Linked DNA regions of Xenopus tropicalis. The protein of the gene in region 1 interacts with the protein of each later gene in a pairwise test. Links are inferred from orthologs where the notes say so. Each region holds a gene or a part of one and is shown in the gene's direction. Other genes may lie near its edges.

What was found.
Region 2: the proteins of ccdc155l (region 1) and nsg1 interact in binary tests that used the Homo sapiens proteins (3 or more experiments, as listed by UniProt). The two-hybrid records come from large-scale screens. The link is inferred for Xenopus tropicalis from reciprocal best matches to the Homo sapiens genes KASH5 and NSG1.
Region 3: the proteins of ccdc155l (region 1) and ppp1r18 interact in binary tests that used the Homo sapiens proteins (3 or more experiments, as listed by UniProt). The two-hybrid records come from large-scale screens. The link is inferred for Xenopus tropicalis from reciprocal best matches to the Homo sapiens genes KASH5 and PPP1R18.
Region 4: the proteins of ccdc155l (region 1) and galnt2 interact in binary tests that used the Homo sapiens proteins (3 or more experiments, as listed by UniProt). The two-hybrid records come from large-scale screens. The link is inferred for Xenopus tropicalis from reciprocal best matches to the Homo sapiens genes KASH5 and GALNT2.
Region 5: the proteins of ccdc155l (region 1) and gosr2 interact in binary tests that used the Homo sapiens proteins (3 or more experiments, as listed by UniProt). The two-hybrid records come from large-scale screens. The link is inferred for Xenopus tropicalis from reciprocal best matches to the Homo sapiens genes KASH5 and GOSR2.
Region 6: the proteins of ccdc155l (region 1) and jagn1 interact in binary tests that used the Homo sapiens proteins (3 or more experiments, as listed by UniProt). The two-hybrid records come from large-scale screens. The link is inferred for Xenopus tropicalis from reciprocal best matches to the Homo sapiens genes KASH5 and JAGN1.
Region 7: the proteins of ccdc155l (region 1) and upk1b interact in binary tests that used the Homo sapiens proteins (3 or more experiments, as listed by UniProt). The two-hybrid records come from large-scale screens. The link is inferred for Xenopus tropicalis from reciprocal best matches to the Homo sapiens genes KASH5 and UPK1B.

Annotation. Positions count from the first base shown.
Region 1 is NC_030683.2:112,407,440-112,410,939, forward strand, and holds part of ccdc155l (lymphoid-restricted membrane protein), read left to right. Parts: intron 1-179; 5' UTR 180-278; coding exon 279-345; intron 346-595; coding exon 596-691; intron 692-1,067; coding exon 1,068-1,248; intron 1,249-2,601; coding exon 2,602-2,660; intron 2,661-3,500. UniProt on the Homo sapiens protein: As a component of the LINC (LInker of Nucleoskeleton and Cytoskeleton) complex, involved in the connection between the nuclear lamina and the cytoskeleton.
Region 2 is NC_030677.2:26,293,138-26,296,637, reverse strand, and holds part of nsg1 (neuron-specific protein family member 1), read left to right. Parts: intron 1-946; coding exon 947-1,063; intron 1,064-3,500.
Region 3 is NC_030684.2:75,522,123-75,526,183, reverse strand, and holds the start of ppp1r18 (phostensin), read left to right. Parts: upstream 1-1,261; 5' UTR 1,262-2,953; intron 2,954-2,995; exon of another isoform or gene 2,996-3,117; intron 3,118-3,639; exon of another isoform or gene 3,640-3,688; intron 3,689-4,061.
Region 4 is NC_030681.2:52,926,217-52,930,314, reverse strand, and holds the start of galnt2 (polypeptide N-acetylgalactosaminyltransferase 2), read left to right. Parts: upstream 1-1,298; 5' UTR 1,299-1,656; coding exon 1,657-1,755; intron 1,756-1,800; exon of another isoform or gene 1,801-1,820; coding exon of another isoform or gene 1,821-1,859; intron 1,860-4,098. UniProt on the Homo sapiens protein: Catalyzes the initial reaction in O-linked oligosaccharide biosynthesis, the transfer of an N-acetyl-D-galactosamine residue to a serine or threonine residue on the protein receptor.
Region 5 is NC_030686.2:15,435,323-15,439,438, reverse strand, and holds the start of gosr2 (Golgi SNAP receptor complex member 2), read left to right. Parts: upstream 1-1,316; 5' UTR 1,317-1,412; coding exon 1,413-1,441; intron 1,442-4,116. UniProt on the Homo sapiens protein: Involved in transport of proteins from the cis/medial-Golgi to the trans-Golgi network.
Region 6 is NC_030680.2:138,224,173-138,228,134, forward strand, and holds the start of jagn1 (protein jagunal homolog 1), read left to right. Parts: upstream 1-1,162; 5' UTR 1,163-1,189; intron 1,190-1,777; exon of another isoform or gene 1,778-1,993; intron 1,994-2,331; exon of another isoform or gene 2,332-2,381; 5' UTR 2,382-2,388; coding exon 2,389-2,477; intron 2,478-3,962. UniProt on the Homo sapiens protein: Endoplasmic reticulum transmembrane protein involved in vesicle-mediated transport, which is required for neutrophil function.
Region 7 is NC_030678.2:6,430,303-6,434,251, forward strand, and holds the start of upk1b (uroplakin-1b), read left to right. Parts: upstream 1-1,149; 5' UTR 1,150-1,167; coding exon 1,168-1,233; intron 1,234-1,721; coding exon 1,722-1,922; intron 1,923-2,367; coding exon 2,368-2,442; intron 2,443-3,911; coding exon 3,912-3,949. UniProt on the Homo sapiens protein: Component of the asymmetric unit membrane (AUM); a highly specialized biomembrane elaborated by terminally differentiated urothelial cells.

The DNA of each region.
Region 1 (3,500 bases):
ATGGCGGCTCAAGGGATGTAAAAGGGCAGTATTTACTGATATACAGTATATATTCCAGTTTGACGAGATTGTTTATTAGGCCACTTAACATAATATAAACTCTCTGTTGGTTAAGTATACATTCTGGGGGTATAGTTTTATTTTAACTTGTAATTTCATAGGAATGTTTGCTCTTTCAGAGCTAGCACTCTCCAGGAATACATCTGCAGATTTCTTTGAGGTCCTGCCTCAAGAGGAAGAACTAATATACCCTAAGCTTTCAGCAAAGGGCTTGTATAATGTATAAACTGCAAGGAACCTGCTGGAATCCTGAATCAGAAGAAGGGCAGCTATCAGACAGCAAAAGTATGTTTTTAATGTATTATTAGATATGTATGTGCTTTTAATGGAAATTAAAGTGGCTGTACCCCCACTTGTGGATGGCTTTTTATATTCTCTACACTTCTGACTACATTGTTTCATGCATCAGAGTGGAAAGGGAGAAACAAATGCTGCTTTCAGTTTGAAATACATTTACAAACATCTTTAAAACCCATTAAAAACGTTAAATGTACGTGTATGTATAGAAATAATTTGCTGTGCCTTTACGTCTCAGATGCTACTCAGGGCTGTCTTAATGGTGTTCCTAATTCTACATCAGAAGAGCAGTTGCTGGATACCGCATTTGAAGCATGTGATACAGAGGGGAGAGGTAAGAAACTCTTGCTGATGTAAAAGAGCGCCTCATGAGTAATATAATAGGGTGTAATACTTCCCAACTAAAGGAAAACAGCGGGGCAGAATTATTATGTCAATTATGTTTTTAAGCAGCAGTAAGGACAGTTACTACTCATAAGAAAATCAGTGGAATTGCGGCTCATTCACTAGTTTTTATAAAACGCTACTACCGAGTCGTTAAGCTCTTTAACTTGCATTGTCATTCAGACTGATGTCCGCCTTACTGCAGCTAAACATATTATTGTGTTTACTAAGGAACTGCCCACATTGTGCATAGGTAACAAAAATCTGCAGTTTTGCTGTTAAATTCCACTGCTAAACTACCATAATATGACTAAATTTGCCTCTAGGAGAAGTAACAGTGTTTCAGATCATTGACTACTTGAAGAGCGTAACAGATCAACCTTGTGATGGAGACCGACTCCAGCACCTTTGTAAGATGCTGGATCCTGAAGAGCAGGGAAGGTCCCTAGATTTGCCAACCTTCCGTAAAGTCATGAGTGAGTGGATTGCCAGCTGCTGCAGTGACAGGTATGTCGGCTCATGCGTTTAGAGAATGTAAGTATAAATTTGGCCATATAATCTTTGGTCCCTGTTGGTTGGCAGACCAATTCATCCCACAGGGTTCAGTTGGGTTAAGGTCAGGGCTCTGTACAGGCCAGTCAAATTGTGAAAGTTGAAAGCCATGGCAAAGAACCCCAGACCATTATTCCTCCTTTACTAAACCTGCCAGATGGTGAAGCTTTATTTACGTTCAAGAGAATGCACGTGTACTTGCTGCAGAGTCCAATCCGAGAAACCTTTACAACTTTGCAGCATACAAATGGCATTGCGTATTAGGGGCGGCCTAAGCCAACCAGGCCCTAGACAAATTGGTCGGCCCCTTGGCCCTGCACCCTTCCCCCCTCCTTGCATCTGCGCATGCATTATATATGGTGTTGCAGGGGGGCGTGAGCCATGCAATGAGAAGCAGCAGAGGCAATGACAAGGGAGCTCGGACTAGGGGTAAGCAGGAAGTACCTGCCTGGCGCCCTGGCAATCTGTGGATTCTGGATCCAGAGGGGCAGCTGTAAGATGCCATAGACTATTGGGCTGGTGGGTGGCTGTTTTGGCCCCTGTGTACTTGAAATGCCAGGGCCTATTTTTGATCCAATGCTAGGCCTGCTGGACTGACAATCATTGCATTCCGGTAAATGCCAGAGGCGCTTCTGTAAGGCACCATAGACAACCACTGTTTTTTAAACCTTTGTGGGACTGTTTGGGCCTCTGTGTACTTAAAATGCCATGGCCTATTTTGAACCACAGTCCAGACCTGTGCAGGTGCTTGACATCTTTTTAAGCTATTAAAGGTGAAGGAAAGTCATTTTGCTAATAGATTAGTCACAATAGTGCAAGATAGAACGCTATATTTATTTTGCAAAAAGCTTTACCATACCTGAGTAAACAGCCCTAGAAGCTCCCTCCATTTGTTTAAGATAGCAGTTGCCATTTTAGGTCTTGGTAGCTTTCTGCTTCTGATAGCATAGATCACACATTCTGATGGGAGGGGGAGTGAATTCTTATGGGAGGGGGAAGCAGGAAAAGGGACAGAGGAGAGCGTTCCACAGACTTTTTCTGAGAGAGGAAGTCTGATACTGAAGAACATCTTTACAAAAAAGGAGACAAATCCTGTGCTTTTTTTGATAGAGGACTCTGAGTGCTTATGGCTGTATTTACATAGACCTTTCTGATAAAGCTTACTTAGTTTTCACCTTTCCTTCTCCTTTAAATATTGCAGTTTTACAGTATAGTGACATGATGTGCAGTCTTATATTTCTTTTTACATACAGTGTAAATAGGACCCTAAGATTTTACTGTCCATTTTAATAATTTCTATATATGCAGTGATATTACTGAAACAGTGGAAAATATAAAATCCGAGAAAGGCTCATCTTTACCATGTGGTAAGTAAAAAAAGCACTTGTGATTAATATATTTCTAATTTAGATTTTCCTTTGTACATTATATATCCTCTATTTCAATCCATATGAAAATTAGGCTACAGGTACACTACAAAACTGGAGATACATCAGCCTTATGGCTGTAAACATACCCATCACTACCCCTATACTGCTGGGTCAGTACTCTGTATTCTAACCCAAGGCTGTCTGTTATACATAGTAACATAGTAAGTTGGGTTGAAAAAAGACATACGTCCATCAAGTTCAACCATAATGCCTATATATAACCTGCCTAACTACTAGTTGATCTAGAGGAAGGCAAAACCCCATCTGAAGCCTCTCTAATTTGCCGCAGAGGGGAAAAAATTCCTTCCTGACTCCATAATGGCAATCGGACCAGTCCCTGGATCAACTTGTACTAAGAGCTATCTCCCATAACCCTGTATTCCCTCACTTGCTAAGAATCCATCCACCCCTTTCTTAAAGCTATATAATGTATCAGCCAGCACGACTGATTTGGGGAGGGAATTCCACAACTTCACAGCTCTCACTGTAAAAAATCCTTTCCGAATATTTAAATGGAACCTCCCTTCTTCTAAACGGAGTGGGTGCCCTCGTGTTCGTTGGAAGGACCTACTGGTAAATAAAACATTAGAAAGGTTATTATATGATCCTCTTATATATTTATACATAGTTATCATGTCACCTCTTAAGCGCCTCTTCTCCAGTGTAAACAGACCCAACTTGGCCAGTCTTTCTTCATAACTGAGACTTTCCATACCCTTTACCAGCTTAGTTGCCCTTCTCTGGACCCTCTCTAACTCAATAATAATACACACAGGT
Region 2 (3,500 bases), on another chromosome or scaffold:
TCGGGAGCCACAGTCAAATGTAAAAAGACTTGGAGAGCAACACAAGCACCATAAAGGTTCATGGAGGTGTGAAATAAGGGCTGTGATTGGCTATTAGGTGCCTCTATGCACCCTATCAGCTTACAGGGGCTTTATTTGGTAGTAAATACATTTTTTTATCCAACCAAAACTTGCCCCCAAGTCAGGAATTCAAAAATAACTCCCTGGTTTGGGGGCACTGAGAGCAACACCCAAGGGGTTGGTGAGCAACATGTTGCCCCTGAGCCACTGGTTGGGGATCACTGTTATACACACTATCCCACTCTTACATTCCTTTTCCCAATGCCAACGTACCTTACAATACACACTACCATACAGTTAGAGCTCTTATCTTGACAACATATTGCCTTATTATACACACTGTCCCCTAGGTTCAGTCCCCATATATTGTCGCCATCTTGCCTTATTGTACCCCAACTTGCATATTCTAATTTTATCACAATACTGAAAAATGCTTGATCTCAGTTCTTCAGTGCTTCACAGTCACTTGACTTTAAGGGCCCCATTCATTTTCCAGCAAGGCCCATAGACCGTTTGGTTGAATCCCCAATGCCCAGCACATGCTGCAGCTGGTATCTCGGGCACCATTAACCCATCAGCAGCTTATGGCTACAAGTAGTGCAACTGCCGGTATCCCAGCGCCACAGATACACAGATAACAGGCAACGGCTGCTGCTGCCCCAGGGCCATGTTTGTGTGAGGGATTACAATGTGCCATGTTAGTAAACGAGCAGTTTCTTGTACTGCCGAAAGGAAGGCTCGCCCTATACTGAGTTATACAGTAACAGGGATCTTGTCACTAGATGGCGCTGTTCCAATGCAGTCCAGAAGTAGAGTTTCTTTTTAGTATATAATCTCCCTATTTGTGCCTTATTACTCACACTGGTTTATGTTTTTATTTTCTAAGGTGGTTGTGAAAACAAAGACTGAATACGAGCGGGATCATAAGAAAGGCAAATTCCGAGCCCCCAAGATTGCTGAATTTACTATCAGTATCAGTGAAGGAGTGTCCGAGAGGTTCAAGGTAAGGCTGGATCAAGCGCTTGCTGGCAGTTTTCCCCTGTGGGGCAAATGGACGTGATGCAATTTGTCTGGCACTTTGGCAATGCTTCCCTTCTGCCTGTGCCCTACCTAAGGCTTTAATAAACTGGGGTCACCACCTACCAATTAATATCAAATTAATATCAATTATGCTATATTTATTCTGAGTAATCATCCCTAGAAGTTCCCTCCGTTTTTTAAGATTGCAGCTGCCATTTAACTTGGTCTCCAAAACTTCCTGATGCAGTTCTAGCTGCTGGTAGCTCAGATCACACATTCTTATGGAAGGGGGAGTGAATTCTTATGGGAGGGGGAGCAAAAAAAGGAAGGGGAGAGAGCTACGCAGACTCGTTGCCCCAAACCTGAAGGAGCCCTAAAGGAGAGGAAGTCTGATACCTAAGAACATGTTTACAAAAAAGGAGACAAGAAATCCTGTGTTTCTTTTGATAGAGGACTCAGTGCAGCATTACTGTGAGTGCTTATGGCTGTATTTCCATAGACATTTCTGATAAAGCTTACTTAGTTTGTACCTTTCCTTCTCTTTTATGGGACAAGTCTCCATGCAGAGTGTGTTTTCTACTCTCTGTGTCGGGGGCCATGGCTTCTTCTGGTGCACAGAAAGTGAGCTTTAGGGTGAAGACACACAGAGCTACTATTAGCAGCTACTTGTCATGGCTTCTAAAACACACAATGCTGATCATATACAGGTATCAGACCCCTTATCCGGAAACCCGTTATCCAGAAAGCTCCGAATTACGGAAAGCCCGTCTCCCATAGACTCCATTTTAATCAAATAATTCAGAATTTTAAAACTGATTTCCTTTTTCTATGTAGAAATAAAACAGAACCTTGTAATTGATTCCAACTAAGATATAAATAATCCTTATTGGATGCAAAACAATCCTAATGGGTTTAATTAATGTTTTATTGATTGATTTTTGATTGATTTTATTAGACTTAAGGTATTGAGATCCAAATTACGGAAAGACCCCTTATCCGGAATACCCTTGGTCCCGAGCATTCTGGATAATGGGTCCTATACCTGTACTGATAATTGTCTCTACGTGTGTTTTAGCAATTCTCAGTATTGTCTATGCAGGGTATTTTCAGCTGTAACAAGTAGCTGCTACTAAGTAGCTCTGTGTCTTCACCCTAAGGGCAGTGCCACATGGGGAAGTTAGTCGGCCACGATAAATCTTAGCTACTGCGGGCGACTATTCTCCCGGAAATGCCATCCCATCGGCAAGAATGTAAATCGCCAGCGGGATGGCATATGTGTCGCTACGGTTTCCTGAAGTTGCCCAAAGTTGCATTGCAAGGAAACTTGGATGCACCTGTCAGTCACAGCTGAACATAAATCACATCCTGTACAACAGGGATAGTCCCGCCCCCTGGCACACTACAGAGCAAGCAGCACAATGTGCATGGAGAAGGGTCAGGTCTGTGCTGAGCCCAATACAAGCATCTGGAGCTGGCCAATACAATGGAAGATTAAGGGACAATACAATCAATCAGATCTTTGCCCAATTTTAGCACCTGGGGGAGGGACATATCAGAGGGATCTAATCATTTGGCTCCCAAGCTTAACCTGTTAGTTACCAATTACAATTAATTTCCCAATATTATTACACTGTGTAGGCATATGTAGATCTTAATGGGGGTCCAATCGGCCCTCCACTTATTGTTCAACTGCAGCTCTCAGCATGTTACCAACATGGCAGTCAGTGGGTGCTCGCAACTGTAATTGCCATCACCCACAGAGTTCAATATTGGCCTCATTTATATATTTATTACCTAGAATAAGGCAGAGACTTGTGGCCCCCTAGTTGTGCCCTCCCACATCACCCCTAACACCATATAGGTTATAACAATGTACATCACAATGTTAAGACCTTCAAAAAGAAAATCTTCCCAATTTGATGGCTGACTGCTCAGCTAATTCCGCCACCCTATCGGCTCCTTTCATACCACAAAAAGGAAATAATACTTTGTTACATGGTAACGCATTGCACCCACCGGCACATCACTATCTACTTGGTGCTGTAATTATAAAATATAAATGATAAATATACCAAGTTGCAACTGATACAAAGGCAGTCCAGCCACCAAAACACATACGCCTGCCAGTTGAATGCACCATATCAGCTGTGGGGACCTTAAATATATTTGCTCTGTTTTTATCATATTCTACATATTCCAGAGTGGAGTTTACAATCTACCGCCCTATCACATTCACACAGTTTGTGGTCAAGTTTATTAACCAGTTAACTGGCCTGTGGGGTGTGCAAAAACCAGAATACACAAAGTAAAGCTGTACAATTACAGGGAAAATATACCTACAGATTGTGACCTGGCTGGAATCAAACCTATGGCCCTCAGCACTGCCATCCTAGGTTTGACTCCAGCCAGGGCTCCATTTG
Region 3 (4,061 bases), on another chromosome or scaffold:
GGCAAGGTGAGAATCTTGACTCGGGTGGCAGTTGCCCTGCACCAGGGCTGGCAAAAAAAATTTGCTCCTGGTATCTTTAAGAGCTGAAATTCTGGTTATTAAAGGAATACTGTCATGATTTTTATGGTGTACTTTTTATTTCTAAATTACACTGTTTACATAGCGCATAATCCACTCTTACCAGTTAAAATTTTATTCTTGAACCAACAAATGTTTTGGGGTTTTTTTTTATTGTAATATTGATGTGTAGGCAGCCATCTCAGTGCATTGTGCCGGAGTCTGAGCTTTTAGAAGGAGCCAGTGCTACACATTAGAACTGCTTTCAGGTAACCTATTGTTTCTTTTACTCCCATGTAACTGGAGGAGTCTCAAGCTGGACTTGGATTTCTTACTATTGAGTGTTATTCTGATATCTACTGGGAGCTGCTATCTTGCTACCTTCCCATTGTTCTGATGATCAGCTGCTGGGAGTGGGATGATATCACTCCAAGTTGCAGCTCAGCTGTAAAGTGTGACCGAAGTTTATCAGTGCACAGGTCACATGGCTGTAGCACCCTGGGAAATTAAGAATATGGCTAGCCCCATGTGAAATTTTAAAATTAAATATAAAAAAAAAAATCCTGTATTTTTAAAAAATGGATTACAATGCAGGATTCAGCTGGAGAAGTTTCATTAACATGCATTTTGAAAAAAAAAAACATGGTTCCTCATGACAGCATTTCTTTAAACTACAAATTTGGCTTAATTCTAGTATAGAGTGCGGTTGTGCCAGTTGGACAGCACTGATGTACACAATGCCTATTGATCTGGTTAAGGGAAGAGTACTGCAGCTAATAGCAATGACCATAGCTTTATCTATATCTATACACAGGAATGTTAACTGGCTCCTTTATAAAACTGATCATAGTGTGTGTGAATGTGATAGGGACCCTAGATTGTAAGCTTCAAAAGGGGCAGGGCCTGATGCAAAAGTATATAATATAGTATGTAATCTCTGTAAAGTACAAGTATGGGACCTGTTATACAGAATGCTCGTAGTTTTCCAGATAAGAGATCTTTCCACAATTTAGATTTCCATACCTTAAATCGACTAAAAAAGGTACTTGTATTGATTGTATTGTGTCCAATAAGAATTAATTATATCTTAGTTGGGATGAAGTACAAGGTACTGTTTTATTACTACAGAGAAAAAGGAAATCATTTAAAAAAAAAATAGAATTATTTTCTTATAATGGAGTCTATGGGTGGTGGGCTTCCTGTATTTCAGAACTTTCAAAATAAAAAGATTTCCAAATATCGCATTCCATAAATGTACTGCAAAATAGGTCAGCGCTATATAACTACAGGATAAAAATACTTGGAGTAAGAAGTATGTTCAGATTGTGATGGATTATATTTTCCCTAAATAGGATTGCTAAAAACCTTGTAGCATGGCGCACAAGCCCAAATGCATTATGCTGAATGATCAGGTTATACACAAAATAAATGCCAATGGCTAAGGCTATGATCACATGTAGCTGTTTTTTGGGCTGCATACTGGGTCAGACTGGGTTGTGCAGGGCCCATTAGTTTGCCGCCCCAGGGGCCTCAGCAGTGGCCTCCACACCCCCTCCAGGGGCACCACAGACCAACTCCATCCCTCCCAAGTGTGCTTACATTATACCTCAACACGATCAGGGAAAGGAGATCATGTCTGGGTCGTGGAAGCCCACAGAGTTAGTCCAACTCTGGCTGCATATAAATGCAGATGCAAGTAGCAGCTCAACCACTCAAATCAGCCTGGTCTGGTATCTGTGCTAATAAGCACTGCTTCAGCCTGTGTACAGTCACAGAGCAGATTTCAGTGTGAAAATGCATATTGACACTTTTCTGTGCTGAAATTCACTTTGTGTGCAGGTGAGTGGTTCATCTGTTTCTTGGCCTGCATTTATACACAGACCAAAAACCAGCTTTGTGTAACTGTTGCCTATGGTTCAGTTTCTTATACTTTGTGTGGCTTTCTAGTGTTCAGTCTGTAAATTCACCCTAACCACGCATAACTGAAGCACTCTGCATTAAGTTTTACATATGTATTGTATTGTGTTGTGTCCGTCCATATAAATAGTATAAAATATAATACATGAGGTAGCTCTTATTTCATGCACAATTTGCCTTAGTAGTATGTTATTAAACTCAAAACAAACATCCAAAAAGCTAAAACTTCTTACTGTTTAGGATATTTATGTTAAAGCATAAATAATCTGTCATGTGCTGTTGCTTAGTATTTTTTTCCATTAGTCCCATCCTGTCCCCCACTGTTGTGTGTACGTTGTACTGATTTAGTATCTTGAGTATAAAAAATACAGAATGTCTGTGTGTGTCTTGTAGTGGATATTTAAGAGCAGTCTTTGCTTTTTTTCACAATAGGGCATTAAAATGATTTTTTAAAAACTAAAAATCCCAGCATTTTCTTAAAACAAAGCCCATTTGCCTTACCGATGTCAATAGAAAAAAGTACAGTGCTATGTAAGGGTTAACTTGTCTGTAGTATCTCCCCCCACCATCCTTCCTCTCTCCACCCTCCCCCTTTACTCTTAGCATTATGCATAGCTGGAACCTCACCCTCCACCCCCCTCTCTCCTTCTGTCTGATTCAATCCCTTCTTCCTACACACCCTTCTCTTTCACTCTCTGGGAATTCCTCTCCAATGCAAAGGTTGCCCAAGCTATAAGTCCCTAGTCTTTACATTGTACATCTGTATTTGCTTTAAGGGTCTGAAGGAATTGGGCTCACTTGAAGACGTGTGACGCTTTGGGACTTTCCACAGAGAAACGCTACATATTCTTATGTTTTTGGGTTTAAGTTTAACAAAGGAAACTGCTCCAGACATCAGTTCACTTCTCCTAACATCAAGGCATCCTGCTGGGCTATAGGATGTATTAGAGGGGATTGTGCCTGCTTACTCACAATAAAGGTATGTAACATATCTGACTATATCCTGTGGGTTTCTGCATGTCATTTCATATGTGCATACAAGTACAATGAGATCACTTTTGCGCACTCTCACTTCATATCTTCCACCAACTTGTCCTCTATTCTATTTCTTTGGTGCCACTATAAAGTGTGATTCCCACTCTAGTAAGTATTTTTTGAGAGAAGAACATACTCTGATTTACCTTTTGTTTAAATCCTCACCAATCGCTACAACACAGGTTATGCAGTATATTTTCATACTTTAGTGTTATTTGTGCGATAATATACAGTCTCCTACATACATACATAGACAAACAAATATATAGACTTAACATCCTTCTCACTGTTTAAATCTATTTTACTCGGTGCATAGAAAGTACTGCTGTGTATGCAGCTGCCTATTTTTTTGCTTTTGTCTTTACCTTCCATGAATCTCCTAAACCTTAGCGATGTACATCTCCTCCGTTTTCTGTAGAACTGTCAGTGCATCTCCCTCTTTCCTGTTTGCCCACTCATCTCTTGCAGGCATGTCTGAATTATTTGTATCTAGTTCTCCTATTTTGCTTTTTCTCCCTTTTCAGAATGTATGTTTTACATTTCTTTGTCTGGTTCAGCAGTATGGCTATCTGTCAGTCTAGACAATTCCATCCTCCTCATTTTAATTTGGTTGCTCCAATTGTTCCACAGATCTGTATCTGAAGAGTTTCCCAACTTGAAGACCAGACAATTATAATCTGTAAGATTTTGTTTGTACCATGAGAAAAACAGATGTATAAAGGTTGATACTAAACAGTTTTAAATTTTAATTCAAAATTGTAATGCCTTATACTGAAAATACTTTCAGAACCTTAGTTACATTATCTAGACCCTTATTTTGTATAAAACATTGCAGAATTGTTTTGTCCATACATTTAATTAAGCCCTCTAACAGTGTATTTCAGCCTTTTCTTACCCCCATGCTTATTTCTCTTTTTATTCTGCGTATCCTCTTTCTCTTCCTCTTTCTCTTCCTCTCTAATGAACTCTACACATGCTTCTTTATATGTCATTTGACTTTTTAAGTGTAACTTTCTTTTTTAGCTGTATGAAATTATTTTCCTGTCATTACT
Region 4 (4,098 bases), on another chromosome or scaffold:
GCCTAGGTTTGGAGCCAAACATCAGGGGCGGGCCTAGCAGCTTATAAAGGGAGTCCCTGTTGTTTTGCCAGCAGCTGAGACTGATCTGCTACACCATATATGTCAAACACAAGGCCCGCGGGCCTGACCATCCAGCCTGATCAATTTCCATTTTCCTCACATAGTAACTAAGACTAAGGGGTGTATTTATCATGCTGTGTAAAAAGTGGAGTGAAGCATTACCAGTAATGTTGCCCAAGGCATCCAATCAGTAATCAGATTTCAACAGTAGCAAAGCATCTATTGGCTGCTATGAGCAACATCACCGGTAATGTCTTACTCCACTTTTTACACATTGGGATAAATATACCTCTTAGTATCTTACTAAGTTTATTAATAAAAAATTTGGCCCATGACTTAGCCTGTGTTTTAGATTTCGGCCCCTTATGTGATTGAGTTTGACACCCCCGTGCTACACTGTGGTCAGATGCCTTAACCCTGTGGATTCCAAGGAGTGAACTAGGAAAGGAAAGGTATTGAAAGTCTCCTGTGTGTCCCCCCCTGTGTGAGGACAGGTGTTTTTCAGGGCCTGCTACATGAGAGCAACTGCCTATTCCAAAGGGAGAGGTACTTTGGGGCAGGTACTGCTACCTGGGAAACTGAAAGAGCTCTGGGGAAGGGACTTTGCCAGGACTGAACTGGGAAAGGGTATTTCCTCCAGGAGTGGAGGTGGAACTGTGTCCTCAAAGAGACCGAGGCAGTAGTTGTTAAAACCACACAGGTTTCCAAAGCAGGGTTATTACTGATTGCATGTTAATGCTATTTTATTTTCACAATGTTATATAAAGTTGATATTTGCTGCACTGTGTGTGATTATTTCCTAGTGGAAATCCCCTTGAGGTGTGCTCCTCAGTGTCCACTAGGTGGAGGCACTGCACTAAAATCCCAGTCCCTGTACCTTTTATCTGCCAAGTAGGACCAATTTCCTGTTTTAAGCATATATACAGCCCAAAGTAAGTGAGTGTGCCAAAAAGGGGTTACATCTATTTAACAGCGCAGGTTGGAAAGGTTATGTAAATTGATATGCGTTTATCCAATGGAATGAATGAGGCGACGCCACTCTCATTATTACTCTTTCGAACCTTCTACTATAAAATGTTCTTTCATCCGACATTACTGCACAATTATTGTTTCTGCCTATTCCTTGAAAGCAGCCGGAACTGGAATGTCATAATATATGATTGGATAACTACAGGTCTATTTCCTGCACTGCAAGTGTCTGTACGTCAGAGCGAAGAGGAGGGTGGGAGAGCCGACGAGCATTGGCGTGCTGTAACCATAGAGATTCACGAATCCCACCCACCACGACCAGCAGCCCATCGGTGATCTCTGATTGGTCGTTCATGTAGCGCTCGACCTTTGCCCTATGACCTGTCGATGCTGGTTGTTTCCTGTTCACTGGCCTGGTTGCAGTCCGCGAGTCAGTGGCAAAGAAGAGGAGGGAGTAGGAGGGATTAACGCTGCAGGCAAAGGGGGAGCAGCTGTATGGAGGTGGAGGAAGTATGAGCCAGTATATATCGTAGTACGTCAGCCTTGACAAAACCATATCCGTGGTGTAGTTATTATTTATTGAATTATTCTATCGCCTGACCGGTCAGGGAGCCCAGGAGAGAAACAATGAGAAGGAAATCTAGAATCCTGCTGTGCTTCGCTTTCCTCTGGCTACTTGGCATTGCCTATTACGTGTACTCTGGAACCAATGGGAGCAGCCGGAAGGTAATATTTCGTGCCTTGAGCATTTTCTTACTTGCAGAAGGGTGTAAGAAGCAGTCACATGACGCATGGGGGGAAGTTTGGCTAGTCCAGAGCAGCACAAACAGGTGCTTTATTGTTAAGTAAAATGTAGGCGATAATGTTATATTGATACCTTGTATTTATCATAATTAATTTAGCATCTCTTACACAACTGCACATTTGTTTTGTTTGGTGGACAGGTTATTTTTTCTACCGGCATAATATAAGGTTTCTGCAATTAACTGCAGTGTTTGTGTGTGGTTTTGTAACAACACAGAATTATTATAAGTTGTTTTTCATTATGTCAAGTCAAACATAGAAAGGACTACAGCTGTGCAAGTTACACAATAATAATCATTTTTTTTAAATCTTTTTAAATTGCTACAATGTATCCTGTGTGTGACTGCCAATTTTGCACTGTATGAGTTGGACAAGACCTTTTTAATTAAACCCTGTTGTGTATCCACATGTTCCTGCCACTGTGCAAAAATAATCAGGAATGTTTGCCGTTGGTGTTCTTGTGAGTTATAAATGCCTATGCAGGTACAAATATTTAACTATAATACATGAATCATTATTTGCTCAGAGGAAAGCTTTTTAGAGTTCAAGGCTCCCTTTGCAGCCTTTCCCGTTTGTTTGCCCCTTTTAGTAGTAAATTACTTTATTACACTTTTGTAGATACTTATAGAAAGATATCATTGTAGCAATGAAGCCAGTCAGCTGTGGTAGGTATGATTGTTAAATATACCTTCCAAAAACATTTTAGTTTAATTGTTGTCATGTACTACACCAAGCAATATGACTTTTTCCACTTTTAATTTTAAAGGAACAGTAACACCACAAAATGAAAGAGCTTTAAAGTAATAAAAATATAATGCACTGTTGCCCTGCACTGGTAAAACTGGTGTGTTTGCTACAGTAAGGGCTCTGGCACACGGGGAGATTAGTGGCCCGCGACAAATCTCCCTGTTCGCGGGCGACTAATCTCCCCGAGTTGCCATCCCACCGGCAAACATGTAAATGCCTCGCGAGGCAACTTCGGTGATTTGCCGAAATCGCCTGCGCAGCGTGTACCATCCCACCGGCGACTTACATGTTCACTGGTGGGATGGTAGTTCGGGGAGATTAGTCGCCCGTGACAAGGGAGATTTGTCGCGGGCGACTAATCTCCCCGTGTGCCAGAGCCCTTACAATACTATCATTTATATAATAAGCTGCTGTGTACCCACGGGGGCAGCCATTCAAGCTGGAAAAAAGGAGAAAAGGCACAGGTTACATAGCAGATAACAGATAAGTTCTGTAGAATACAATAGTGTTTTATCTGTATGTGCCTGTGCCTTTTCTCCTTTGAGGGCTCTGACACACGGGGAGGTTAGTCGCCCGCGACAAAACTCCCTGTTCGCGGGCGACTAATCTCCCCGAGTTGCCTTCCCCTGCCATCCCACCGGCGACAATGTAAGTCGCCGGTGGGATGGCACACGTGGCGGCGCGATTTCGGGAAATCGCCGAAAAAGACTCGCAAGACTTTTTCATAAATATCATTAACAAGAACTCAAGCTTAAAGGTGGCCATGCATGGTGTGAGGTCCCCAAACGAGCAGATCATCTCCTTATATGCCCACCTATGGTGGCTGATATAGCAGATCATCTCCTTATATGCCCACCTATGGTTGCTGATATAGGGTTGTTTAACCCTAGGCCGAACAATCCAATTATAAAGGCAGGTATATGGGCCGTCAGACCAAGGACCGCTTCAACAAGCAGTTGTGGTCCCCAATCCAACAGAAAATTATTTCTGCCTGATTTCTGGCCAGTTTTAGGCCATGTCAGTGTCACTGACACATTTAACAAAATCCAAGATGGGGAACATTTGTGACAACTTTGAAGGCCTGAATCATTATCATATCATTATAATGTTGCTGAACTTGTAGGCTGGTGCAGTAAGTTCTGTGTAAAGTCTGTGTGGTGAGTATGTGATGGTGGGCTATATTAAAAGGGTTGAACTCACAGGGTAGTTGCCTCCCTTTTTAACTCAAAATAATTATATAACTATATCTTGGGAACTCAGTCTATACATTAATATAGGACTGACAGATAGTATAAAGGGAAAACTTTTGGTTTATTAGAAGCAAGCGATTCCCACAACGCCAATGGAGAAAAACAAAATTTGAAAACTCTGCCTCCTGGTAAAGTTTTCTTATGTTAAACCTAGATGAAAGCTAAAATATAGAAATCATTGCATAAAACATATGATATAACTCTAGAACAGTGATCCCCAATCAGTAGCTTGTGAGCAACATGCTGCTCACCAACCCCTTGGATGTTG
Region 5 (4,116 bases), on another chromosome or scaffold:
GTGCTTGCACTTTGGAAGTCAATGGAGGTAGATTTTGTGTGATTTAGGGGTGTGTTTACTAAGAATGGAGATAAACATCACCGGTGATGTTGCCTGTAGCAACCAATTAGGTCTTTCTTTTGATTTCTAGCTTGTAGGTGACTGTACAAATCTTATTGCTTATTGGTTGCTATGAGCAACATCACCGGAGATATTTATCTCCAATCTTAGTAAACACACCCCTTGGTACCATGTTTGGGCTTATTAATGATCACAAAACTGTGGTTCCAAATGAAGCCACGTATTACCCACTGCCCAGTGTCTGGAAGGACAGGGCTGCCTTACACCTGCCATCACTGCAGTCTCTATCAGCTGGATAGGTATCAGACCTTGGGCCCAAGTAATTGTAAATGAGGATACTTGGTGATCCAGCATTTGCATTGGCAGCATAGTAAATGGCCCTCATGTGTATGTAACACTTTGTAGATTGTAAGCTCTTTTGGGCAGGGCTCTCTTCACCTCTTGTATCAGTTACTGATTGCTTTATATGTTACTCTGTATGTCCATGTATGTAACTCACTTATTGTACAGCGCTGCGGAATATGTTGGCGCTTTATAAATGTTAATGTAATGTATATGTAACACTGGGCTAAAGGCACATGGGGTGTTCTGACCACTGCTGCCATCAAGTGGAAAACACTGGGAGTCAAAATGCTTTTATCTGCCTGTCAGCACTTCCCATGTTTATCTAGAAAGGGCTAGGGACCCCCACATTACAAGAGGGCCAGTGCCCACATCTCACTTGAAAGTGGGGAAAGGAATTGTATAATCCAGGGACATAACATTTTCACCCCTTCAGATGTTGTATAACTACAACTCCCTACACCCCGTATAAACTTCCAGTTCAATAGGTTATGGTTTTTTATTAGAAAGCTGAGTAAAGAAGGTAACAATTATGCATTTAATATATGGCTTCTCCGGTTGTTTAATAGCAACAACCCCCCGGCCGTAGCCTGTCACACTATCACACCAACATCTGGAACGCAAGTTAAAAGATGCTGATTCTGACATCAGTCACCATGGCGATAGGAATGAGCGCCCCACTATGGCTGCCCTATGCCCTGCCTGTACAATGCCTTTCGTTCTTTGCCTTCCTACGATGCCTTTTTGTTAATATTAGCTCCCTAGTACAACTAGTCAAATAAAATACTGTATCTGAAACCGTGGCTTTCTAGTCTTCTCGTTTATTTAACTGATTTAAGTCGACAGGCAGCATGGACACCCTAACGCTCGGCGGGGTCCTGAAAGAACCCGGAAGTGATGACGTGTGGAAGGGACACGGTTCTGTGGGGTGCCGGGATAAGCAACAGATTGCTGGCGGATGTGTAATCATTTACCGATCCTTTGGGGTGAAATTCACAGAAACTGCTGCCATGGAGGCGCTTTATCACCAGAGTAACAAGTGAGTCGGGAAGCAGCCCTGTCCCATCTCCTTCAGCATAGGACCAGACATGCCACCTCATCCTTTTGCTACAGAACAGGTTTAGGTGGTGTTCAAAAAAATATACCAGCTCCTAATTAATAATATACTTAGCAGCTTCTAATTCACTAATATGCAACTAAGGCATTCATTTGGTAGGGGGTGGGGTCCAAAGAAACCAAAGTATTATATACTGCCCCCCTGTTTGTATTGCCCCCCCATGTAAGCAGGGCACACACTGTGGCACTATATGACTAAATACAATATGGTGTGCCCACTGTGGCACTATATGACTAAATACAATATGGTGTGCCCACTGTGGCACTATATGACTAAATACAATATGGTGTGCCCACTGTGGCACTATATGACTAAATACAATATGGTGTGCCCACTGTGGCGCTATATGACTAAATACAATATGGTGTGCCCACTGTGGCGCTATATGACTAAATACAATAGGGTGTGCCCACTGTGGCACTATATGACTAAATACAATAGGGTGTGCCCACTGTGGCGCTATATGACTAAATACAATATGGTGTGCCCACTGTGGCGCTATATGACTAAATACAATATGGTGTGCCCACTGTGGCGCTATATGACTAAATACAATAGGGTGTGCCCACTGTGGCACTATATGACTAAATACAATAGGGTGTGCCCACTGTGGCGCTATATGACTAAATACAATATGGTGTGCCCACTGTGGCGCTATATGACTAAATACAATATGGTGTGCCCACTGTGGCGCTATATGACTAAATACAATATGGTGTGCCCACTGTGGCGCTATATGACTAAATACAATAGGGTGTGCCCACTGTGGCACTATATGACTAAATACAATATGGTGTGCCCACTGTGGCACTATATGACTAAATACAATATGGTGTGCCCACTGTGGCGCTATATGACTAAATACAATATGGTGTGCCCACTGTGGCGCTATATGACTAAATACAATATGGTGTGCCCACTGTGGCGCTATATGACTAAATACAATATGGTGTGCCCACTGTGGCGCTATATGACTAAATACAATATGGTGTGCCCACTGTGGCGCTATATGACTAAATACAATATGGTGTGCCCACTGTGGCGCTATATGACTAAATACAATATGGTGTGCCCACTGTGGCGCTATATGACTAAATACAATATGGTGTGCCCACTGTGGCGCTATATGACTAAATACAATATGGTGTGCCCACTGTGGCGCTATATGACTAAATACAATATGGTGTGCCCACTGTGGCGCTATATGACTAAATACAATATGGTGTGCCCACTGTGGCGCTATATGACTAAATACAATATGGTGTGCCCACTGTGGCGCTATATGACTAAATACAATATGGTGTGCCCACTGTGGCGCTATATGACTAAATACAATATGGTGTGCCCACTGTGGCGCTATATGACTAAATACAATATGGTGTGCCCACTGTGGCGCTATATGACTAAATACAATAGGGTGTGCCCACTGTGGCACTATATGACTAAATACAATAGGGTGTGCCCACTGTGGCACTATATGACTAAATACAATAGGGTGTGCCCACTGTGGCACTATATGACTAAATACAATAGGGTGTGCCCACTGTGGCACTATATGACTAAATACAATAGGGTGTGCCCACTGTGGCACTATATGACTAAATACAATAGGGTGTGCCCACTGTGGCACTATATGACTAAATACAATATGGTGTGCCCACTGTGGCACTATATGACTAAATACAATATGGTGTGCCCACTGTGGCACTATATGACTAAATACAATATGGTGTGCCCACTGTGGCACTATATGACTAAATACAATAGGGTGTGCCCACTGTGGCACTATATGACTAAATACAATAGGGTGTGCCCACTGTGGCACTATATGACTAAATACAATAGGGTGTGCCCACTGTGGCACTATATGACTAAATACAATAGGGTGTGCCCACTGTGGCACTATATGACTAAATACAATAGGGTGTGCCCACTGTGGCACTATATGACTAAATACAATAGGGTGTGCCCACTGTGGCACTATATGACTAAATACAATAGGGTGTGCCCACTGTGGCACTATATGACTAAATACAATATGGTGTGCCCACTGTGGCACTATATGACTAAATACAATATGGTGTGCCCACTGTGGCACTATATGACTAAATACAATATGATTATTATTTATAGTGATGTGGCATCTGATCTGGGCTCCCAACACAGGGCCCCTTGGGCATAGATACAAATACAAAGGACAGATAATATTTCATAACAATTAACACTTTTAGTAAATAGACCATGTATTCTAAGCTGCACCCCCCACCTGTCGGTGAACTGTAGTTCTGAGCAGAGACAGCTAAAGCCTGTTATGGAGTCCATTTTTGGAGTTTTCAAGGAACAGTAACACTAAAAAATGAAAGAGCTTTAACGTAATAAAAATATAATGCATTGTTGCCCTGCACTGGTAAAACTGGTGTGTTTGCTACACTAACCCTACTATAGTTTATATAAATACCCTGTTGTGTAGCCCCGGGGGCAGCCATTCCTGCACTGGTACAGCTGGGGTGTTTGCTACAGAAACCCTACTATAGTTTATATAATACCCTGCTGTGTAGCCCCGGGGGCAGCCATTCCTGCACTGGTACAGCTGGGGT
Region 6 (3,962 bases), on another chromosome or scaffold:
CCCCCTCCTCCAGGTGTATGGTTTTATATATTATTATAGGTGGGTGAAAAAAACAATCATCTATGCTGAGCCAATGACACTTTAAACGCTGTGTATATTATAATGCTGGGACATCCAACCAGCTTAACTCTAACAGTCTCTATATTACCAAAGCCTAACTACAAGCAGAGTCCCACAGGAATCTCAATGTAGAAAATATACTCTAACCATTGAAGATATATTTTAGCTAAGTATGGTGATTACTGCCATTAGCTCTTATTGAGTGCCATGCAGACAAACATACACATACAATATAATCCAATTTAGAGGGTCTTTACCCTGCCTTCCATTTACTGATTTACTCCCAGCCAGCTAGATAAGCACAGGCAATGTGACATCTGCCATAATAGTCTTTTTGACACATTATAAGCAAAACACACACAAAAGAGCTTCATACTTACCCTGTATATATGTCTGTAAGGAGTTATATGTTGCACTCAGTTCCCTGGGATCCAGTCTCCCAGTCAGCAGGCTTGACCCATACTATGACAGTATATACTTGGGAGATGTTTATGACTCTCTTTCACTGCAGGTCACTCCTTCCTACCCACAATGCCCTGTGCCAATGAGTGGCCATTCCTTCAGCTGTCCCAGCAAACAGGAGCACAGGTCATTGCTGTTCAGTGGGAGTCATTACTGCCCTGCCTCCTACTCACAGGGGACCTATGCACTGCAGTCTGAGGCCAGGGAGACACATTCCCAGCTGTTTGCACAATATGCAGGAACCTGTCCCAAACTTGCCCACCCTCCCCATTAGCAAAAAGGCTTAAATTACACAGAATGCAGGGCTCCATGGCAACAAACGGCTGCCCTGCATTGTAAAGCGATAATGAAAGCTAATTTCTATAAAACAAAAAATCAAACAGCAGCTGGTAATTTCTGCAGATATTTTATATTTTGACATCACCCATTATATTTAGTAGCTTAAATAAGAAGCCTTGCACTGATTTTTTTTATTCTTAAGGCAGAGAGCGACAATGTGGTTTTAATTTACAGCCATACAGCTACTTCACTGTCTTCTCAACATCAATCAATACATGGTGATTCTACTTCCGAGTGGAGCAAGATGGCGCCGGGAGCCGGACGGAAGTAGTCGGAAAGGAGCGCTGACTGGGCGGATGTTGCCGAAGCGCCGGGTTCATTGAGCGTGGTAAGTGGGCTCCTTGCTATTGTGCGTGTTATAATATGTCTTTATAGTTTGTTTGTTCTGTGTGTGCTGGGGGAATGCGTATTTAGTGCACTATTTTGGAAAGCCAGTCATGTCATAGGGCAGGGGGCTAGCTGTAGGGGCATGTTACCTGAGTGGGCTATAGCCATCTACCAGGTACATTAGCCTCCAAGGGTTGCCACCTCACCCCCTTTAAACCAGGTACAGGACCATATGAAATCCCCCACCTCCCATAGGTGCCTGCTGCAGGCTGTGATGGCTTCTTTTTATATTATGTGACATTTTATATTTGGAATTACATCCCCTTTGAGCTTTGGGCAGGGTGTTAGGACTGACACTAGGGAACTTCAAGTGTTGTTGAACTACAACTCTCTGATCCATCAACAGCTGCAGGCTGTAAGGCGATAGTGGGGGCTGCTCGCTAAACGCTAAAGGTGTCAATAAACTACTCTAAGCCTTATGCCCCCACCCCAAGGCCACCTTCATTATACTGACATGATCCCGCTATTGATAGGAACCTGTCATGATTGCAAATCCTGCACCAAATATCTTTTTTTTTTTTTTTTTCAGCCCTTGTTGTTAGTCCAAAAGATCCACAGGCACATCCCTGGCCAGCAACAAATGAGCTTCATTTTGTGCCCAGGCCAACAAGAACGAATCTATATTCACCATTTAGAAGCCAATATCGTTCTTTGTATGACCAGCAAACTAATCTGTATGATTATGTATTGTGCTTGAACCCTCATTTGTAGATTAGTTATAAACCAGAACAGAGCCATTGCCCAGGTAATCATTAACCAGATGCAGCTCTGAGATTTAGCCGTAGGGGGTTATATTTGGGGGGGGGGGGGGGGGGGGGGGGTTACCGGCTTAATATGTACACCACCCACAGCATTTCAGTCACAAAAGTGAAAAGCTTTATTTAATTTTTTTTACTGTTCCTGTAAGCAAAGGAGCACCTACCAATACCACTGTAATGTTATTTTAAACATTTGATAAGTAAAGGGGAACTAGGCGCTCAGCTGTTAGTTTTTCACCTGGGGAACTCAGACGATATATAAGTCTGTGCACACACTGTTCTTTTGTTTCAGTGTGTTGTAGATTGTAACTAAGTTATTCTTTAGTTTGCAGATAATTAATTAGAGATTAATAATTATTGTTTCCTGGTTGTAAGATCAATAATGGCCTCCCGTGCTGGCCCTCGGGCAACTGGTACAGATGGAAGTGACTTTCAGCATCGAGAGAGAGTAGCCAGCCACTATCAGATGAGGTAAGTAAAATACAAAGAAAGTCTTGTATTAGAGCTGTACTTCCCCCACTGTTATTTCATTGTAACACCCATCATCCCCCCCCCTGGCAGACTTCAGCTGTAGTCCAGCCACGGTTGGTGCCCAGGAAAAGAAATGTTTATTTGCAATGCTAGGCTATTTGGGGAAATTATTAAAGAAGTGCAAATCTGCAAGATGCAGAGAGATCTTAAGGTGGCCATACACGGCAGATTCTAGCTGCCAATATCGGCCCATTACACCGATTCGGCAGCTTATTGGCCCGTGTATGGGCACTACCGACAGGCCTGCCCAACCGACATCTGGCCTGAAATCACCCAGATCTCGATTGGGCAGGTTTGATTTTTTTTTAGTCGGACTGGGGACTGCATTGGCTCGTTGAAGTGATACCCGACCTGACAGACGCCTATACCCATCGTTCAAATTAGCCCGATATTGCCCACCCGTAGGTGGGGATAACAGGATCTTAGAGCGTGTATGGCCACCTTTAGGGTTTTTTTTTATACATGATTACAGCCAGTAGATAGCAGTGCAGCCCCTACCATTCAAATCTTCTCTTTTAACTTGTATGTTCTGACAATCTCTATCACCTTATTGGTAAATGAATTGTAGATAACTACATACAGTGGTGCTTGAAAGTTTGCGAGCCCTTTTGTATGTCATATTTCTGCGTAAATATTACCTTAAACGTGATCTGTTTTTCCTGCTCCCTTAAAGGAGAAGGAAAGGCTAATAAAGAGTTAATCTCAAGCTGCAGGCATACCTTCAGTTCTCTCAATAGTGCCCCTAAGTCTCCCCATATTTCTCCTGTTGCAATGATCAGAAGCCAAACAGGAAGAAAAAATGCTGAGCTGTGTAAAGAAAGTTCCCATAATGCCTCACTCCTGCACAGACACCCAGACCAAGTGTACATGCTCAGTTAGTAAGACTATAAGTCAGCCTCCTGCTGATTGGCTCAGATCCACATTCCTAAGGGGGGGGAGTGAGTTCTTAGCTTTCTTGAGGGAGGGGGGAGCAGGAAAGAGCAGAAAGCAAAGAGCTGTGTGTCTCTGGCAGAGGAAACTGAGTTTTTACCTTTCCTTCTTCTTTAAAACTAGATAAAGGATAAGTAAACATTTAAAATAAGTGACTGTAAAATTGATGAAAGTGTGCTGTTCTAAGCACTTTTGCAAGTTGCTTTTTTATTTTAAGATTCCAAGAGAAATAAAGCAGGTAGTTATGCTGGAATGCAATGTGTTGCTTTACCCATAATGCTTTTCATTTAAGCCTAAAGGTGGCCACACTAACCTTCAGTGCTGAAACAGGCAGATAAGGAGGTAGAAACAATAGATTCAGCCCTAAAAGCAGATTTTGCTCAGGCGCCTTCTATGGCGCCTGATCAAAATCTTTTAACCCGCCCGATTGGCGAGTCGACCGATATCAGCAGGTTCCTGCGATATCGGTCGACTCACCGACTTGCCATACACGCA
Region 7 (3,949 bases), on another chromosome or scaffold:
CCAATGTTTCTATATATCTGTAACCTTGTTATGGGCTAAGGGGGCCCAGCCTGAAGGCCAGTTAGGGGGGATTTGGGGTGAGTGCTTATTTGTGCCCTGGGTACCCCTGGAACTATAGCAGGGTGACTGTTACCCCAATGTTTCTATATATCTGTAACCTTGTTATGGGCTAAGGGGGCCCAGCCTGAAGGCCAGTTAGGGGGGATTTGGGGTGAGTGCTTATTTGTGCCCTGGGTACCCCTGGAACTATAGCGGGGTGACTGTTACCCCAATGTTTCTATATATCTGTAACCTTGTTATGGGCTAAGGGGGCCCAGCCTGAAGGCCAGTTAGGGGGGGATTTGGGATTAAAAGTATTGGGTGCAACAGGTTTCATTGAAGCATCTGGCACACTGAGGCCACACCTCCTCTCTGTGGGAATTAAATGCATCTGTTTAGCAGTGAATGCTGATGCCCATGGCTGCGGGTTTGCACCCCCTGGGGGAAGGGGTGATGCTCAGGAACACTATATACAACCTGAGGAAGCCATAGACAAATAGCACGAGGGGCATTTGGCTGCTGGTGCTTTCCGTAGAGCGTGCCAGGACTGCCAGTCTGTGGGTTCTGGCAAATGCCAGGGGGACTGCTGTAAGATCCCATAGACACTCACTATTTATTGGGGCTGTTTGGCCCCTGTTGAATCCCAGTTCAGGCCTGGGCATAGAGATTTTGGCCGGTTGGAGCTGCCATACACAATCACTGCTCAGTAACTCTGCTCTCCTCTGTGTGTTGGATTTTATATTACAGGGTGGAATTCTCTATACCCCCCCCCCCCCCCCCACGCCCCACCCAGCTCTGCATGCATGAGAAGTTTGGGATGTTTTTAGATCTAAGATATTGTTCGTTTCCCCTTTAAACAAACTGACCGGGAGAAGAAAAACTTGTTCTCGCTATTGGTTACGAGTATGCCCGAGATTAGAATGTTGGACTGAATGAAATGTGAGCGAGTTGCATTCCAATCCTCTAGGCCCGGGTGTATATAGAAACCCTTAGTCCTTCTTCTGGGGTCCAGAGATTCTACTGGACTGCAATGTCACATGGTTTCCTGCTGCTTTAGGCCACGCCCTTTCTCAAATCAACTTCCAATCAACTTTTTTTTAATTGTACAGGTTTATTATACGTAAGAAAATGAAGGAGGACTCAGGCGTTCGGTGTTACCAGTCCATCATCATCTTCGGCAATGTGGTCCTTGGGGTAAGTAGTCGATATTATTAACCACTTTGCACCTAACCGGAGCCTTGGTCAGGACTAGAGGCTCATAGTTTGGCCAGAAGCCCCTAGTTAACTAGCCCTACTAGTTATTTTATCCTCCTTTTGTATGTTACTTGTGCACCCCTGGATGTAGATCCTGGTCAAGTATCATTCATGGTTCCACCAAGCCCTCTATGGCCCATAGAATGGCACAAACCCAGTAAGTTTTAGTGCACTGGGGGTTAAATAGGAATGGATCACATGGTCTAATTATAGATCAAGGTCTAATTATAGGGTGTCCAAGAGTTTAACATAATTTGGGGCCACGGTTTCAAAAAGTCTCAAGATGACTTGAAGAACAGCTTTGATGGGTCAACTGCACGTTAAATAATGATGAGCCCAACTGTTTGGTTGCCATGGCTATGGCACTGGGGCAATTCTTAACCAATTGGAATGCACGTGTTCTAATCATGGTCACCTCGTCGTTCCAGCTCTGTGGCGTGGCCCTGACAGCCGAGTGCATCTTCTTTGTGTCGGACCAGAGTGGCATCTACCCCCTGCTGGAGGCGACCAACAACGCCGACATATTTGCCGCAGCCTGGATTGGCATCTTTACAGGGTTCTGCTTCTTCATCTTGTCCATCGTCGGAATCATTGGCATCATGAAGTCGAACAGGCGAATGCTGATGGTGGTAAGGACTGGGTTCTGGTCCAATGAGGATCTGTAGGACGCTCTCCCATTGGGCAATTGGATATTGGGCAATATTATAAAGGAAACCTCCTCCAATAAGAAGAAGCTGTGCTTCTGGGTGGTCACTGCAGTTCCATCTATGCACCACCAGTTGGCCAATTGGAAGTTACCCCAGTAGGGGAACTAGTAACCTGTAAATACCAATGCTATTACCCCTTTACTACTGTCTGTCTGGTATTTCCCATGTTCTATGGGGGAAATCTCTAATGCTTTCTATCCATCTAGCTCCAAGGCCTCTTATTGGCTGTGGCCACTTTCATTGTGCCCCGCCTATATATAGATGGTTCTGGTTGATGAGTTACTGCTTGTTACCAGTGTTAGTAAATGGAGTATGATGATTGATGATGATTGTTGATTCAATATACTTCACCCCTTCTTCATTTCAGTATCTCATCCTGATGTTCGTAGTTTATGCCTTCGAAGTGGCCTCGGCCATCACGGCTGCAACTCAGGAAAACTTTGTGAGTATTTCTTGCCGCCACTTGAATGGGTCACTGATCCATGGGGATAGTAAGGAACGACCAACTGGATATCGGGCGATGGTGTATTCTCTATAAACAGACCAACAAAGATCTGATTGGGTTATTGGATGGTCTAAACCAAAAATATCTGCCTAGGTCCTTTCCCAGTTGGGTATAAATCAACCCAAGTACCCAATCATCTTTGGACATTATTATAGTCAACATAGAGGGTGATAGGAACTCAAGGGCTCTAAGAACCTTTGGCTGATACATTATATAGCTTTAAGAAGGGGATGGATGGCTTCTTAGCAAGTGAGGGAATACAGGGGTAGGGGAGATAGCTCTCAGTACAAGTGAGGGAATACAGGGGTAGGGGGGATAGCTCTCAGTACAAGTGAGGGAATACAGGGGTAGGGGGGATAGCTCTCAGTACAAGTGAGGGAATACAGGGGTAGGGGGGATAGCTCTCAGTACAAGTGAGGGAATACAGGGGTAGGGGGGATAGCTCTCAGTACAAGTGAGGGAATACAGGGGTAGGGGAGATAGCTCTCAGTACAAGTGAGGGAATACAGGGGTAGGGGGGATAGCTCTCAGTACAAGTGAGGGAATACAGGGGTATGGGGGATAGCTCTCAGTACAAGTGAGGGAATACAGGGGTAGGGGAGATAGCTCTCAGTACAAGTGAGGGAATACAGGGGTAGGGGAGATAGCTCTCAGTACAAGTGAGGGAATACAGGGGTAGGGGAGATAGCTCTCAGTACAAGTGAGGGAATACAGGGGTAGGGGAGATAGCTCTCAGTACAAGTGAGGGAATACAGGGGTAGGGGGGATAGCTCTCAGTACAAGTGAGGGAATACAGGGATAGGGGGGATAGCTCTCAGTACAAGTGAGGGAATACAGGGGTAGGGGGGATAGCTCTCAGTACAAGTGAGGGAATACAGGGGTAGGGGGGATAGCTCTCAGTACAAGTGAGGGAATACAGGGGTAGGGGAGATAGCTCTCAGTACAAGTGAGGGAATACAGGGGTAGGGGAGATAGCTCTCAGTACAAGTGAGGGAATACAGGGGTAGGGGAGATAGCTCTCAGTACAAGTGAGGGAATACAGGGGTAGGGGAGATAGCTCTCAGTACAAGTGAGGGAATACAGGGGTAGGGGGGATAGCTCTCAGTACAAGTGAGGGAATACAGGGGTAGGAAGGATAGCTCTCAGTACAAGTTGCCCCAGGGACTGGTCCGATTGCCATCTTGGAGTCAGGAAGGAATTGTTTCCCCCCTGGGGCAAATTAGAGAGGCTTCAGATGGGGTTTTTTGCCTTCCTCTGGATCAACTAGCAGTTAGGCAGGTTATATATAGGCATTATGGTTGAACGTGATGGACGTGTCTTTTTTCAACCCAACTTACTATGTAAGAGAAGACTCATTACCTTCCTCAAGACATTTATCTTGACACTTTCTCTCTCCTTTGGTCTAGTTCATTCCAAACCTCTTCCTGAAACAGATGTTGGACTT